Linked DNA regions of Arabidopsis thaliana. The protein of the gene in region 2 interacts with the protein of the main gene of each other region in a pairwise test. Each region holds a gene or a part of one and is shown on either strand. Other genes may lie near its edges.

The links. The genes of interacting proteins can lie anywhere in the genome.
Region 1: the proteins of AT4G23030 (region 2) and CAT4 interact in a protein complementation assay, tested with the Arabidopsis thaliana proteins (one large-scale study listed by BioGRID).

What each region holds. Positions count from the first base shown.
Region 1 is NC_003074.8:923,765-932,975, reverse strand, and holds CAT4 (cationic amino acid transporter 4), read left to right. Parts: upstream 1-2,973; 5' UTR 2,974-3,275; coding exon 3,276-3,384; intron 3,385-3,470; coding exon 3,471-3,672; intron 3,673-3,752; coding exon 3,753-3,837; intron 3,838-4,067; coding exon 4,068-4,208; intron 4,209-4,296; coding exon 4,297-4,415; intron 4,416-4,501; coding exon 4,502-4,598; intron 4,599-4,797; coding exon 4,798-4,970; intron 4,971-5,088; coding exon 5,089-5,155; intron 5,156-5,306; coding exon 5,307-5,465; intron 5,466-5,687; coding exon 5,688-5,892; intron 5,893-6,023; coding exon 6,024-6,132; intron 6,133-6,425; coding exon 6,426-6,538; intron 6,539-6,802; coding exon 6,803-6,878; intron 6,879-6,958; coding exon 6,959-7,106; 3' UTR 7,107-7,420; downstream 7,421-9,211. Other genes in the region: RIF10 (polyribonucleotide nucleotidyltransferase), read right to left, coding at 8,070-8,381, 8,480-8,521, 8,611-8,728, 8,805-8,899, 8,983-9,090, 9,179-9,211. UniProt on the Arabidopsis thaliana protein: Permease involved in the transport of the cationic amino acids.
Region 2 is NC_003075.7:12,070,269-12,076,650, reverse strand, and holds AT4G23030 (MATE efflux family protein), read right to left. Parts: upstream 3,892-6,382; 5' UTR 3,795-3,891; coding exon 2,286-3,794; 3' UTR 2,071-2,285; downstream 1-2,070. Other genes in the region: AT4G23040 (Ubiquitin-like superfamily protein), read left to right, coding at 175-318, 493-636, 723-779, 872-979.

The sequences.
Region 1 (9,211 bases), on a different chromosome or scaffold from region 2:
TCACCGACTTAACATGGACCAAATGTACTTGATGTGCACCGACTTAACATGGACCAACTTGGTCGATATCAATACAATTCTGGACATCTAGAGGACGCTTATGGTACGTTGATTAGGCTTCCCGTGTGTATTTTGCTTGTGATCTCGGCATTCCATTGCCGAAGGTTCGAGGATGCGCGCATTCTTTCGATTGAACTATCTACAAACGCACCCAAGCTTGATGACGCTGATGACAGGAAAGCAATCCATTATAAATCCTTATGTGGACGAGGCTTAGCCAACATGGCTTTAGGCCACTATTACACAGCCGCTGTTTTGGTACGTAAACTCATATAGATATATTTATGTTTTGTTTATAATTATGTTTGGTATAACTTATATTCATCAATATTTATTGTTTTCGCAGTTTGCGCATTTGGTCAAATGCTATGCCAAGTGGTCAAAAAACTCTTTTGACCTCTTTACTTGGGAGGATTTGTTCATGTACACGGCATGGTGTGGTCTTGCCACGATGAAAAAAGATGAGCTTGAGGTAATACAATATTAATCGATTATATATATATAAAAATAAATAAGCCGACTTGTAAACTTTTTTTATTGATGATTTTTTAGGAGATTTCTGAGAGGATGGGAAGTCAAAAAGTTGGCCACCATTTCCAACACTTGATTAGAAAAACTCTTGGAGGGTAATATATAACTCTTAAAAAATTTCTATTGAATACACTTGTCGGCAATTAAACAAGCTTGGTTTATTTGTTGCAGGATGTTTAAACCACCATGCTTGGATTTTTTGAAAACTCATTCAAAACCAAAGCACTTTTGGACTTATACCTCCACGACCATGTGAATGCTCTTGAGATCCTCATCCAGGAGAAATTTAGGGTGTGATGCATGGTTGCTTTAAAACTATCTAGTTTTGTCTTTTTTGTAAGGCTACAGTATTTTCTTGTCTCTCTTGGAACAAGAGTGTTTGCAAGTTTTCTTTTATATTCAAGTGTGTTGGACTTAGAAAAGTTTGAAAAATCGTACTCAATATCAACAACGAATCCTCTTAAGATGGTTTTGTTTTTGTAGATAAATTTGGCTTTTAGTTCCCACCAACATTTCTTCCATGGGTTTAAGTGTTGATCATGAGCTTAACAAGTCATTAGCTATATCAAATTGCCAAAAGACTGATTCTCAAAACCGATCAAGAAAGAAAGCATCATTTTATAATCTAACTTGTGTAGAGTACTGAAAATTTGATTTGGAAATTAATTCTCACCGACTTAACATGGACCAAATGTACTTGATCATTTTCAATATAACAAACTAGTGCACCGTACCGTATTATAAAGTCTTTATGTATTTTTTTTTAATATAAAAACATTTTCAGATATATTTATTTCCAATAAATTCATTTATTTTAAGAAATTAACCAAAAAGAAATAAAAATGAACAAACATATATAAGTATCTTGATTAGAAGAAGCAGGAGACAAACCCTAGATGAGTGAGTCCGAGGAAAAGACATGCAACGACGATCCAAAGCAGCCGACACTTGTCCGAGACCTGGTTATATCGATCTTGGATCGCTTGAGATTCTCTGATTTTCATCGAGCCAGATGCATTTCTTCAGAATGGTATTACGCCTCGAAATCGTGCATCAGAGTAACAACTCCATGGATCATAATGTTTCCATACAACACAGATTGGAAAGAAAATTCATCATGTAAGTTGTTCAATCCTCGTGACCATAGTTGCTACACTTTAAGAGATGTCGGGTTTGATCTAGCTAGTAGTCGTTGTTTGGCCAGTTCCGGTAGATGGTTCCTTATGTTAGACCATAGAAACGATTTTCATCTCTTGAATCTGTTTACTCGAGAGAGGATTTATCTTCCTTGTCTGGGTGCAACCGATGGATGTCCGATAGAATTTTGGAGAATCAATAATAATAATTTTTGGGTGACTCTCAATGACCAAAACAATTCTGCAAAAAAAAAAAAAAACTTCACATATGGTCATGTGTCTTAGAATAGGCAAAGCTGTTTTGTGGGTAGATGAAGAAACCAGAGACTACTTAGTTGTTTGGAATTATGATGGCTTTTTTGCATATCACAAGAAAGGAGATGACAAGAATAACTGGAAAGTGATTCAACCTTTAATGAATCAACGATGCGTGGATATGGTGTGTAAAGAAAGCAAGCTTTACGTGCTTACTGATACTCACGTCACTGTTCTTGATTTCTCCCACGCTGATGCTTCTCCAATACAATGTGCAAGTTTCAAATCTCCGAATTATGGTAATGATTCGTTTTGCGGCAAGAATCTTGCTGTGACTTTGTCAGGACAAGTTTTGATCGTTATACACAGTGGGGGTGTCTACAAGATGGATCCTAAATCATTAGAATGGAGCAGAACCAATTCTTTAGGAGACGAAGCATTTATTTTTGATCTAGGAATAACTGTTGCAGCCAAAGATGGAGTTATGAAAAATTGCATATATTTTTATGCTGACCCGCCTTATCGACCTAGGAGGAGGTTTGTACGCAATGCTGAAAGCGGTATTAGCGTATACCATATTAAAACCAAGAAAGTGGTCCAAGTGTATCAACCAGCTCTTACTGCTTCGTCTCCAATATCTTTCTCTTCTGCTCGATGGTTCTTAAATAGTTGCTTCAAACCTAAATCAAGTTTTGTCTCTTGGTAAAGTTTGGAGTATTTTCTTTTGTTTTGTACTGGAACAAGATTTGTTGCAACTTTTCTTTTTTATATATTCAAGTGTTTTGGACTAAAGGATTGATGAATTGGAGATTAGACGGGTGATTATTGATTGTCTATAACATTTGGGCGTAATCTGTTATAATTTACATTACCGTTCTGTTTTTGGTAAAGAGAAGATCCACATGTCCATCAATTTTTACTGTGACATTGTAAAAAAAGTAAAATCTGTTAATCTGTTTTTAAGCTGAGGTGCAGATAAATCTCTTAGGATAGAGAATTCATGAATCAAGAGTTGCCCATTGCACAAATTAGCCCAATTGTTAATAAAAAGGAAGAAATAAACAAAATCACAAAAGTCATCTAAACTTTGAAGAATCTTTACCAACGAGAATCTCACAAAAGTTGGAATCGTGCACGCCTCTCGAGTTATCTCCGGCTCCGATACTCCATCTGGTGGATTCTGTAGAAGAAAAAATTTCAATCTTTGTTGGATTTTCTGGGAAAAACTCAGATGGGTTTGCTCTGAATCGATTGGAAAATCAAACCGGTGTGGACTCTGCAAAGTTGGTTGATATGAACAGTCTTGTGAGAAGAAAACAAGTTGATTCTGTTCATCTTATCAAAAACGATGGACCTCATCAGCTTGCCAAGAAACTATCCGCCGTTGATCTTGTTGCTATTGGTATGAGAAAGCTTCAAGCTTTGGCCAATTTTGATCAAAATTCCTTATGGGTGTTGATTGTGTTCCTTTCGGTGTTAATTTGTCAGGAGTTGGGACAACAATTGGAGCAGGAGTGTATATTCTTGTGGGAACGGTAGCTAGAGAGCACACAGGACCTGCTCTTGCTGTATCATTCTTCATTGCTGGAGTAGCTGCTGCTCTCTCTGCCTGTTGTTATGCTGAGCTTGCTTCTCGTTGTCCATCTGCTGGGAGTGCTTATCATTATGCGTACATTTGTCTTGGAGAAGGGTATATATATATGGATTTTAATAGGATTGACCTTGTTGTTCGTCTTAAAGCTGATACTCATGGATTTTCTTATTTCATAGGATTGCTTGGTTGGTTGGTTGGGCACTGGTGTTGGATTATACAATTGGTGGATCAGCCATTGCCCGTGGCATAACTCCAAATCTGGTATTTGCCTTTGAGTTATATGTGTTTGGTTTCAGTCAAGAAGTTAATCACTTAGCTCCTTTTCTTTCTTTTTTCAAAACTATTCTCAGCTCTAATTCTCAAACCCAAGATGCACTTGTTGTAAAAACGTTTTTCTTTGGAATATAATTTAACATTATTTTCAAAAAAAAAATATATGTATTTGTGGTCTTTTGTTGATTTAATTCTGACTGGTGTTTCTTTTGTTTTAGGCATCTTTTTTTGGTGGTTTGGACAATCTTCCTGTGTTCTTAGCTCGACAAACTATACCCGGGGTTGGTATTGTGGTTGATCCATGTGCTGCACTTTTGATTATGATTGTCACGATACTACTATGTTTTGGGATAAAGGAGGTACTTTATTGAAGACATTTTAAATGGATTCATTTCAGGATTATCAGATCGTCTAATAGTGTTATACCGGGTTATTTTGTTCTTACAGAGTTCAACAGTACAAGCAATTGTAACATCAGTGAATGTTTGCACCTTGGTTTTCATCATAGTAGTTGGTGGATATTTAGCTTGCAAGACTGGATGGGTTGGATATGATCTCCCCAGTGGGTAATTAGCCTGTTCTCTTCTCCATTGAGCGTAGCTTTTGTCAAAAGTTATTTCTTAAAGTCAATGTTTAATACTTGTCTTTACAGGTACTTTCCTTTTGGACTAAATGGGATACTTGCCGGATCTGCTGTAGTATTCTTCTCATACATTGGATTTGATACTGTAACTAGTACGGCTGAGGAGGTATACAGTTTATTGAATAATACTCTCATTCTTTTTGATTTATTATCCTTCTCTTTTCTCTACAAAGGACTCACTTTGACGATTCCATATAGAACTAGTAATAAAGGATGATTTTTGGTCTTAGTATAGTGAACTTTTTTTCCATAATTCTGGCGATTTTCTCTGTTAAGCTCTTAACCTTTTGGTATTGCCACAACAGGTGAAAAATCCTCAAAGGGATCTTCCATTGGGAATCGGGATTGCATTACTGATATGCTGCATTTTGTATATGCTTTTATCAGTAGTTATTGTTGGATTGGTCCCATACTATTCATTGAATCCTGATACTCCTATCTCCTCTGCATTTGGAGACAGTGGGATGCAATGGGCAGCGTAAGTATGATACATCTCTTGACACTCAAATTTCTTTGTATTAATTAGTCACGATGCATATACACATACTTCCTTTTGTCTTTGCTTTTTTTTTTCTTATTATTCCTATATATTTCAGGTACATCTTAACCACTGGGGCAATAACTGCTCTATGTGCGAGTTTGTTGGGTTCCCTTCTGGCTCAGGTACTAACCAATTCTATCGTTCTGAAAATCCAAGTTCAAGAGATTTTGTAATTGAGATATCTTAGTAGTAAAAGTAACATGCTGGTTCTGTGTGGGTTTTGGAAATGCTTACATGTCGTTTTGACAGAGCTTTGTATTTTTTTTTTATTAGCCACGAATATTCATGGCAATGGCTAGGGATGGATTGTTGCCAGCTTTCTTTTCAGAAATTAGCCCACGAACTCAAGTACCAGTGAAAAGCACAATAGCTATTGGTGTTCTTGCCGCTGCACTCGCATTTTTCATGGATGTTGCACAGTTGTCCGAGATGGTAAGCTGGTATTTGCCTACATTACATGTCTCAAGTCTTAAGGAAGGATTTTCACCTACAATTAGTGGCAAACAGAAAATTGAGGGTTCATTATTAGTAGTATAGTTTTGATATTGTTGAAGCAGTTAGTATTATATAATTTAGTTGAGACACGCCTAAACACACTCTATTACGGTAACAGATCCTTCTCTGAGTAGCTCACATCGGTAATTTATCCAACAGGTTAGTGTAGGCACTCTAATGGCATTCACTGCCGTTGCAGTCTGTGTGCTAGTTCTTAGATATGTACCACCAGATGGAGTTCCCCTATCATCTTCCTCCCAAACTTTGAGTGATACCGATGAAAGTAGAGCTGAAACTGAAAATTTTCTTGTGGATGCTATAGAATCTTCTGATTCCCCTCTACTTGGAAATGAAACTGCTCGAGGTACTAAAATGTGCTCAATCACGTAGTTACCATTTGGATATGTTGTAAAGATACATCCAACAATTCAATCTTTTCTGCCTTTTATCTGCATTTAAGAAATATGACTTTTTTGCTTCTTTTTAATTGAACAGATGAAAAGTATTTTGGAAAGAGGAGAAAAATTGCTGCCTGGAGTATAGCTCTTGTGTGCATAGGTGTCCTAGGTCTTGCTTCAGCAGCTTCAGCTGAGCGTCTTCCAAGGTCGTTTCATCATCTGATATCTTATGTCTGTATAACCCGTCCTGCATATATTCCCCACATCTAATTATGTCTACTAAACAAATCTATTTAGTTTGGTTGAGATGCTTGATTAGCTGTGAACGATATCACTGCTACTTGCATGTCAAAGCGGTTAAGTATGCTCAATTAGAAAATGCATTCCTGTTTCAGAATTTTGTGAAGCACTTTTCAACTTGCTGTGTTGAAAGATTTGCATGTTATTATCTTTGTAATATGGTTATGAACTCTAATGGGTTATTTCTTGACTTTTGCAGTTTTCCTCGTTTCACTATATGTGGTGTCAGTGCAGTCATCTTGCTTGGCAGTTTGATTACTCTTGGCTACATTGACGAGGATGAAGAAAGGCACAACTTTGGACACAAAGGAGGTAAGGCCTGAACCTTATTCAAGCCTTTTTTTTTGCCTACTCATACATCACAAAATGAGAAGTTTAATTGAATATAAGATTCAGCGAGCCATCAATTGGTTGGTCTTACTTTCATCAAAAACGCTGCTTAGTTATTAGTTTCTTGCTGAGTTGGTTATTACCTGGTTAGGACGAAAATTTTGAGGTTTTAGCAAAAACCATAAACTTGGATTTATACTTGAGCAGCGTTTTCTAACTGGCATTCTATATATGATTCTATTTCAGGGTTTCTCTGCCCATTCGTCCCATACCTTCCAGTTCTTTGCATTTTGATCAACACCTACTTGATCATCAACATTGGGTGAGTTAGTCTGATGGACCCATGTATGATTCAGTATATTGGGATGTTTCTAAACCCTTGCTGGTTATTTGTAATGGCAGAGCTGGGACATGGATCAGGGTCTTGATATGGCTACTTATTGGAAGCATGATCTATATCTTCTATGGCCGATCTCACAGCTTACTGAACAATGCGGTTTACGTTCCCACAATGACTTGTACGAGAAAAACAACAGATCATCTTGCTTAAGATTGGTGGATCAATGCTGCAGTTAAAGGGACTCGAGCTCAAGCTTTGTTGTTGCTGAAGTAGCATCTAAAGAGAATTAAACAGTTTGGCACAAGAGTAAACACAAGCCAATATATACAACAACATTTTATGTACATTGATAGTCATTCCATTTTCATGTACACAAGCCAATGTATATCTCTTAAATGCCAATTTCATGTTTTATTCCTTTTTCCATTTCCAGTTATAAAGTTTGCCAATATTGGTTAAATGATCTTGAAACTGCCAAGTCCATCTAGTAAGTCGAAACATAACAAAAACTGGGAAACTTTGATACTCTGCAGATAAAGAGTGCAAGAACATTTAAAAGTTGCAGATCATCTTGCTTAATATGGGCGGTTCAATGCAGCAGTTAAAGGGACTCGACCTCAAGCTGTTGTTGCTTGTACAGGCTTAGAAATATATGTGCTCTTGTTGTGAAATGTATCCAGTTATATAGTTTTCTTCACTTAGCTAAGTGATCTTTAAAACTCTTGAAGTTGCCAAGTCCATCTAATAACTCGAAACATAACAAAAATTGGGAAACTTTGACAAGCTGAAGAAAAATCATCTATCCCAAATAAAATTTAGTCAAAAACATTAATATATCAAGTAACCTAAACGGACTAATGAGTTTGCAAGAGAGAAGACAACAGAAAGAACTGATGAAATGTCTGAGAATCTCCCAACATATGACGTCTTCAAAAATGTTATCCTCCTCCACACCAGACTTGCCAACATATATGCACAGCTTCAAGAAACTGCCAAGAAACATAATTACAAAACATTAGAAAAAAAATCAAGAAAAGACATTTGCAACTTGTCTTGTCTCAAGTTTTCAAGATTTCTCAAGTCGCACCTGTGGTTCCGTTGGAAGAAACTCTCCTCCTTTCGTAATGAGTCTCACGAGACACAGATATGAACAGTGATCTTGTTTGCATTCCACTAGCTGATTGTAGCTTCACCGTTGACTAAACTTTCTTCGTTGGTACTGCTATTGCTATTCATTGTCTTGTCACTACTACCACCAGTTGCTCTCCTTACATCTTTCTTCTTCAGGACAAGTTCATCCCCAGATGAAACCTTTGATGCTCCTGCAGCTGCACGGTCCTTTGACGAAGTATTTACATATTTCCTTTGCGAACTCTTGTCTTTGGTAGAATCACCTGCCGGCTGTTGTTTCTGACTGTCTTTGTCTGTCTCTGATTCGGGAAGTAAAGCCCGTACACTAAGTCGAAGCTGACCCTTTTCATTTACCTGCATTATCCATGTTTCTTTGTTCAACAACTCTCTAATTATCATTTCCGATTAGTTATATTGTCTCTTGAGTTATAAAGACACAATAACTCGCTGACCTCTATTAATTTGACGTCAATGCGGTCTCCTACTTTATAGGCCTGAAAGGACAAGAATGAGCGTATGTGAAAACCTGAATAAAAGATGAAACAATTTCTATAAAGGAAGGGAATCAATGAGTAATGCTCACATCCTCTGGTTTTGCAAGCCATTCAGCACTCAGCTCACTGATATGGCAAAGACCTTCCCGCCCAGGCGCTATCTCTACAAATGCACCATAAGGAGCCATTGACTTGATTTCACAATTCCTGATACAAAAAGAAAGGTAAGAATCCAAATCTATTTACGCTTTTTGGTCAGAGAAGGTATATGAAGGATACATACCTGTAGATATCACCAACAGAGGGAACCATTGTCAATCCACTAATAATCGCTTTCGCCCTTTCTAGACTCGCTACATCAATTGCCATAATTTTGACCTTGACAAAGATAAATATTAAGAAGTTAGGATAAAGAATACCCAATAAATATAAAATCACATTTTTTTGCATGTATATCTCACAGTTCCATCATCTTGCATGTCAATGGCCTCAACTCCAGATTCTTCAATGATGCTCTTTACTTTCTTACCTCCAGAACCAATAAGAGAGTATACTTTGCTTGGATGAACCTGCAGCACATGAAACGCCAACAATCTTTAGTTCAAGGCAGAAAGGCATTAGACTGGGCAATCCTGGAAAAACTAGTTGAAGCCAAACCTTCATAATAAGTATCAATGGAGCATATTTTGA
Region 2 (6,382 bases):
GTTAGGAACATTTTTTGTTTCTTTCCTCCCCAAGTTGATTGGAGAATACTCTTTACTGATCTATCCTTGTGACAAGAATAGAAGTAATGGGTAGAGAGTTTCACCCCCTTTAGGTCATCGAAGGATACTGATGATGATGAGTTTTTATTCTTGTTGAAATGTAAACTCGTGCAGGATGATGAGTATCTTGCATCGCTGGAAGCTGACAGGGTAAAAGCTGAGGCTCGTCGATTGGAGGAAGAAGCTGCTAGAGTGGAAGCTATTGAAGAAGCAAAGAGAAAGGAGGAAGAAGCTCGCAGGAAGGTCGAAGAGGAACAGGTGTGCTTCTGGTTATACATGAGTCACTCTAATCCCGTGTGTGAACTAGTTAGGACTAGCATCGCTACTAGGTTTAAAGTATCATAGATACTAAGCTGTATGCAGTACTTGGATGAGTTTCCTCAAATTCTTGAAAGTTATCTCGCGTGTAAGCCAATTTATTTTTCTTACTAGGAGCTGGAGAGGCAATTAGTTTCAAAGGAAGCATCTCTGCCTCAAGAGCCACCAGCCGGGGAAGAGAACGCCATTACACTTCAAGTCAGGCTGCCAGATGGCACCCGTCATGGCCGCCGGTTCTTTAAATCCGACAAACTCCAAGTAAATATCCCAAAACCAGCTTCAATTATCCTCAAATATATGAAAAACCTTAATAACCACTAATCATGTCTTCTTCTTATTTGCAGTCACTTTTCGACTTTATAGACATCTGTAGAGTTGTGAAGCCCAACACTTATAGGCTGGTAAGTGGTTTATGCCATAAAATGCTAAATAAAAATTTTCATTTGAGACATCTTTTAGTTGATTTGATAAACTCTTGTGTGATCAAAAACAGGTAAGGCCATATCCTCGGCGTGCTTTTGGAGATGGAGAATGCTCATCGACTCTAAACGATATCGGTTTAACGAGCAAACAAGAAGCATTGTTCTTGGAGCTGATCTAGAATTGGTATTATTCTATTGGGGTTACATAATTTATTCTTTTATATGTCTTCTTCTTTTTCTTCGTAGAATTTGTTACTCCCTAAACATTTATTGGTCTATTTAATCCAAGGCTGGCTTTTGAAAGTAATTTTTTTTTCTCCACCGATATACATCTTGGTTTGTTGGATGTGCTATTCCTTCTTCACGCATCTCATATGATAGTACTGTGATCGTGGATATCAAATTTACCAGATTTGCAAAATGATATGATATTCTCATCATATTCAAAGTTAAAAGTTTGGGTATAGAAGTTCAAATTTGGTTTCTAAATCATTATAGTGTCATTCAGTTGTGTTAAAAATCTAAATGTAGACAATAATTGAAGGGAGAGTATAAAGAGGAAGTGAGGTGATGGAGAATGAAGGACATTAGAAGCTAATGTTATATAAAAGCAAGTTGGGACAGTTGAGGAAAATAGCTTTGATTTTAGTGGCAAATTCATAACTAATTCTCCTTTCTTCATGTTTCACCTTATGGGCCTTTTTTGTTCCTTGCCACCACACCATGAAGTTTGTTACATTTTTAATAGTCTATAATGCAAAATATCATATTCTTATAATAAGTTATAACCAAGTGGACACAATTTTGTTATTCAGATTTGAACTCTAATTTGGTATTTTGTCACCTCATGTGAATTTAACACCCCAAAGAAAAACATACACTGAAACGGGTCGGGTTAGTGGAAGAAAAGAGAGTAAACGAAGAAGACGACAAAGAGACCGGGTCATTCACGGCGTCGGCTGTCACAAACGACGACCTTGACGGAGACATTAGTATTTTCTCGCCGTCGTCAAAGTTTCACAACTCTTTCCGTTACGTTACTTACACGCGCCTTAAACGTCACGCGCCTATGGAGGACCACTAAACATGGTGTTTAATAATTATTTTTATTTTCTTGTTGCATAAGAATTTCCCGGCAACGAAACCAACTTCTATCTTGTCCTTTAATTGCTTAACCAGATTCATATATATTACACTCGAACCACTTGAAAAGGATAGTTTTATGTTTACACATTCAATTTCTAAAGTCATTCTCATGACAACAAATCACTCCCATGATATTTTTTTTGAAATGACATGAGGTTTAATACTAATAAAGTATATTTTTACAATCAAATCAAATCAACAACATTACATTTTAAAAAAAATCCAATATATATCTCACAACATAAATTTGAAAATCCAACAATCAAATGTTTCCTCCTAGAATAATGAATTAGAAGAGTGTACAATGAAACGAATCTCGTTAGTGCCAATAAATCAAAACTAGAAGACAAGATTTTCTTCTATATCCAAAGAATCCAATAAAAACGGTGTATTACCATCATCTTCATCACCATCACATGATCTAGTCATGAGTTCTTTTGCTCTATGAACCTCAACTTCCCAATCAGTCCTAGCCAACACGACCAGCATCGAAATCAGGCACGAGCCTTGTGCTGCAAATAGACCGAGCCATAGTCCTTTGAAGTCAAACCCGCTAAAGAAACTTAACCATACAGCCACTGGCATTCCCACAAAGTAGAAACAACACAAGTTTATGTTTGCTCCTAACTTAGGTCTCGCACTTCCTCTCAACACTCCACACAATGTGGTCTGAGGACAGTTTCCTAGCTCGCAAAGCCCGATGATCGGTAAAACCATTGAAGTCAACTTCACAATCTCTTCCTCATCTGTGAACAATCTTGCCCAGCAATTCCTCACCATCAAAGCGAAAAACATTGCCAATAAACCTAAACCAAGGCTTAAACTAAGTCCGGTTCTCGCAGCTATCCTCGCTTTATCAGGCTGATTCGCACCTAATTCATTCCCGACACGTGTCGATACGCTGATACTCAGAGAGGAAGGGAAAATGTAGATCAAAGCGGTGGTTTGGATCAAGATTCCCATAGATGCCACGGTTGCTTGCGGGTTAAGTAACAATCCACATAGAAGAATCATGATTTCATACCACCACCACTCTAAACAAACCGAGACGCAGCTAGGGATGGCTAGTTTCATTAGAGATCTCCATCCTTTAAAGCAATCCATTGAGAATCCTCCCCAAGTCTTCTGGTAAACACCGGAAAACACTATGTAGATGATTAGAAACCCTAGGAGATTGACATTAGTCCAGATTGCTCCCAAGGCGACTCCTTTAAGGCCGAGACCGAGAGAAGAAACGAGAAGGTAGTTAATCGGAATGTGGAGTAATACTGCGAAGAAAGCAGAGTAGGTTAGAGGAAGAGTGATCGATTGAGATCGGAGGTAGATACGGATAGGATGTAAAAAAGATTGGAGGATCAGATCAGGGAGAGAGAAGAGGATAAAGATCTCAGCTTGGTTTGAGATTTCTTCGTCTTGTCCGAAGAAGAGAAGGATCTTCTTGATGTTGAGCCAGAGGATAGATATGGGAAGAGAACAGAGGAGAAGCAAAAGTGTGGTTCTTTGCAAAGCAAGGCCTAAAAGTTTGAATCTTTTGGCGCCAAAGGCTTGAACGCAGATGGGTTCCATGCCGATAGAGAGACCGGAGAGGAGAGAGTAACCCGTGATGTTAGCGAAGCCGAGGGCGAGTGAGCCACCGGAAAGAGCAGAGAGATCGTTGAGACGGCCGAGGAAGAGCATTGAGATCATTGAGCGAGAGTAGAGAAGTAAACCGGTTAAGATCAGTGGGAGAGATATTTTGGCGATTGATTTGGCTTCTTGGATCGAAGAGGAAAGGTGGGTCGGGTTCGGATTCGGATCTTGTCGGTGATCTGTTTGGTTCTTGATGATCATCAACAAAGGAGCTGCCATGATTACAGGTTTGAGAGAGAAGAGAGAGACAGAGACAGAGAAAGGAGATGATGAAGAAGGTGTTGTTGATGTGTGAAAGGTGTGTTATAAGTTTGAGATTAAGTCACTAGTTAAGGTTAATAGTGATTAAGGCCCTTAAGGGAACAAGAGAAGTTTTTTGACTCAGAAATTAGTCTTAATTATAACAGAACAATTTTGGCGGTTTATTTGACCGGCCATTATGTCATTTGTTACGACTCCGTCTTAATTCAGAGACACTATTTTATTCTATTTTCATTTGTGGAAAACCAATAAAAAAAGTTTAAAGAAAATATGATTTTTGGATGTCTATTTGGAATCATTTTACTTTCTTCATGTTGATTTGGATTTTTTATATATATAATAGTATTGTTTTTCTTTGGATGTTTATGCAACTCTTTTCTTTTAATCATGGTTACGTTTATTAGGATTTTTGTTTCCATTTGGAGATAAGTTTCCAAGAAAATATTGATATTTGGATGTTTATTAAGAATTTTTTTTATTCACGATTAATTTATTGTCTGTATTTCGTTTAATTTATAGTTAGATACTTAGATACATACATACAATACAACTCAGCATAGAAAGAGTTGAAACTTGAGACGTTTTTGGGATTTCTATTCTTTAAATAATAAACCAGTGTAACAAATTGACTCATGTCGTTTCTTCCTCACTTTTAATAGTATTGAATTTGACCATTATGGGTAATTTTCATGTGCCAAAAAAAAAAAACGAAATGGATTCTTTACAAAATCAAATAAGTAACTGCTCGAAGTAGTAGTAAAGTAGTAAGCTAGTAGGGATGGACACAGATCATATACCAGAAAATTAAGCAGCTATACAGAGAGGTTGGTATCAAGTTGTTACGAAATACTAAGATTTAAAATTTTATGGACCATTTTATATAAAACTTGGGACGATGTTGATGCTTGCAATAAAGTGAGAAGAATTATATAGAATATTATACCTACTTAATGCTTATTTCTAAACTTCAAAACAATTTATTGGACCACTCTATTGATCATATAATCGAGGGGAAAATTATAGTTTGGCAAAAAAAAAGGCTTGCTTTCATAATTAGTTTCAAGAGAACTTAACAGAAAATAATAATTAGTTTAAAGAGAATATTTTTTATTAGTGTTTATTAATTTTGGGATAAGAATTTATTGTTTGTGCATAGATATAATACGATGTCACATGCTTCACCTCTATAGAATGTGGACCATTAATATAGCTTAAGGATGATGGGGAACAAAAATAACATTATCTTATCACGAGCTATGTCGATCGTTTATTATATTATAACAAAAAAAAAAATTAACAACTGTAAATAGAAAAAAATATATATATATAAACTATATGAAATAAAAATAAATACAAATGTAAATATAGAAGTAACAAACAAATATAAATAACATGATAAAAAAATTATAATTTACGTATTTCAGAGATTTTATATTTATATTTTTAGAAATGATTAGGGTTTCCAAGTCAAATTTTCGATCAATTTTCTAAGTTACAACTTACTGTTACTTTGTATATGAACGAAAGAGAATTGATTTCCTTTTGGACTAAAATTGTTGTCAAGTGTTTATTATGTTTTGATTATGTTTTATTTATGTGAAATTTCAGAGTATTTTTTCATTGTATCTTGAATATCAAATATCATTAACAAATTATGTGAAAATTAATTTACGTCGACTTAAAATTAGGTTAAGGTAATCTTGACAAGGAAAAAGGGCAAGGTTATCGAGGAATCTAATAGTGTTTTGGTTAAAATTAACAAATTTTTTTCATTAACACAATTGTGTTCCTAATTCTCATCACACTGTCTATAACGTATTTTCCTATAATCAGTATTACCGCATATACTTAATGGTTGTTCATCCATATGCATTCTAGAAACAATATCTTCATATGATCAAAGTAATTAAACAACAATATCTTGTGAGACAAAAGATGTCATATAGTCAAAAATGTTCAAAAATCTATAATATCCTTGGCATAGAATGAATCAACCCCATAAAGATCCTAAGTAATAGGAGGAATCCTAATAGTCTAATTTATTCATTCTCATGCATGTAACTTTAACTAAACAAACCTTTGTGTCCTGTCGCTTGATAACTTCTGTTTATATGAGATTAACCATTATCCGATAAGCTAAGAGTAAATAAAGTACTCTATACTATTCAATAGCTTAATTTAATACACTTAACGTCTATATATGTATATAGAACCTGTCGTGGGATCTAAGACAGTAAGACATCAATCATCGTATTATCTTATAAAAAAATTACTTAAATGCTCGTGCTTCATTTGGTATATCTTTTAAGTCTTAAGTTTGCAAACATTGAAACAATCATCTGTGTGGATGCTATTTGGTTTGGAATATATTTAACATAAACCCAAAAAAGGCTTACATGCCTTTTGAATCATTTGATAGGATTCTAATGACTTTCTTTAGTCTTAAGCCGAGTTCTTAAGGGCAAAAATTCGTTTATAGATTATTGTCTTGAGAACAAAAAAAATCCATAACCAACTTTTTGTACTTCATATCAATGATTTTGAAA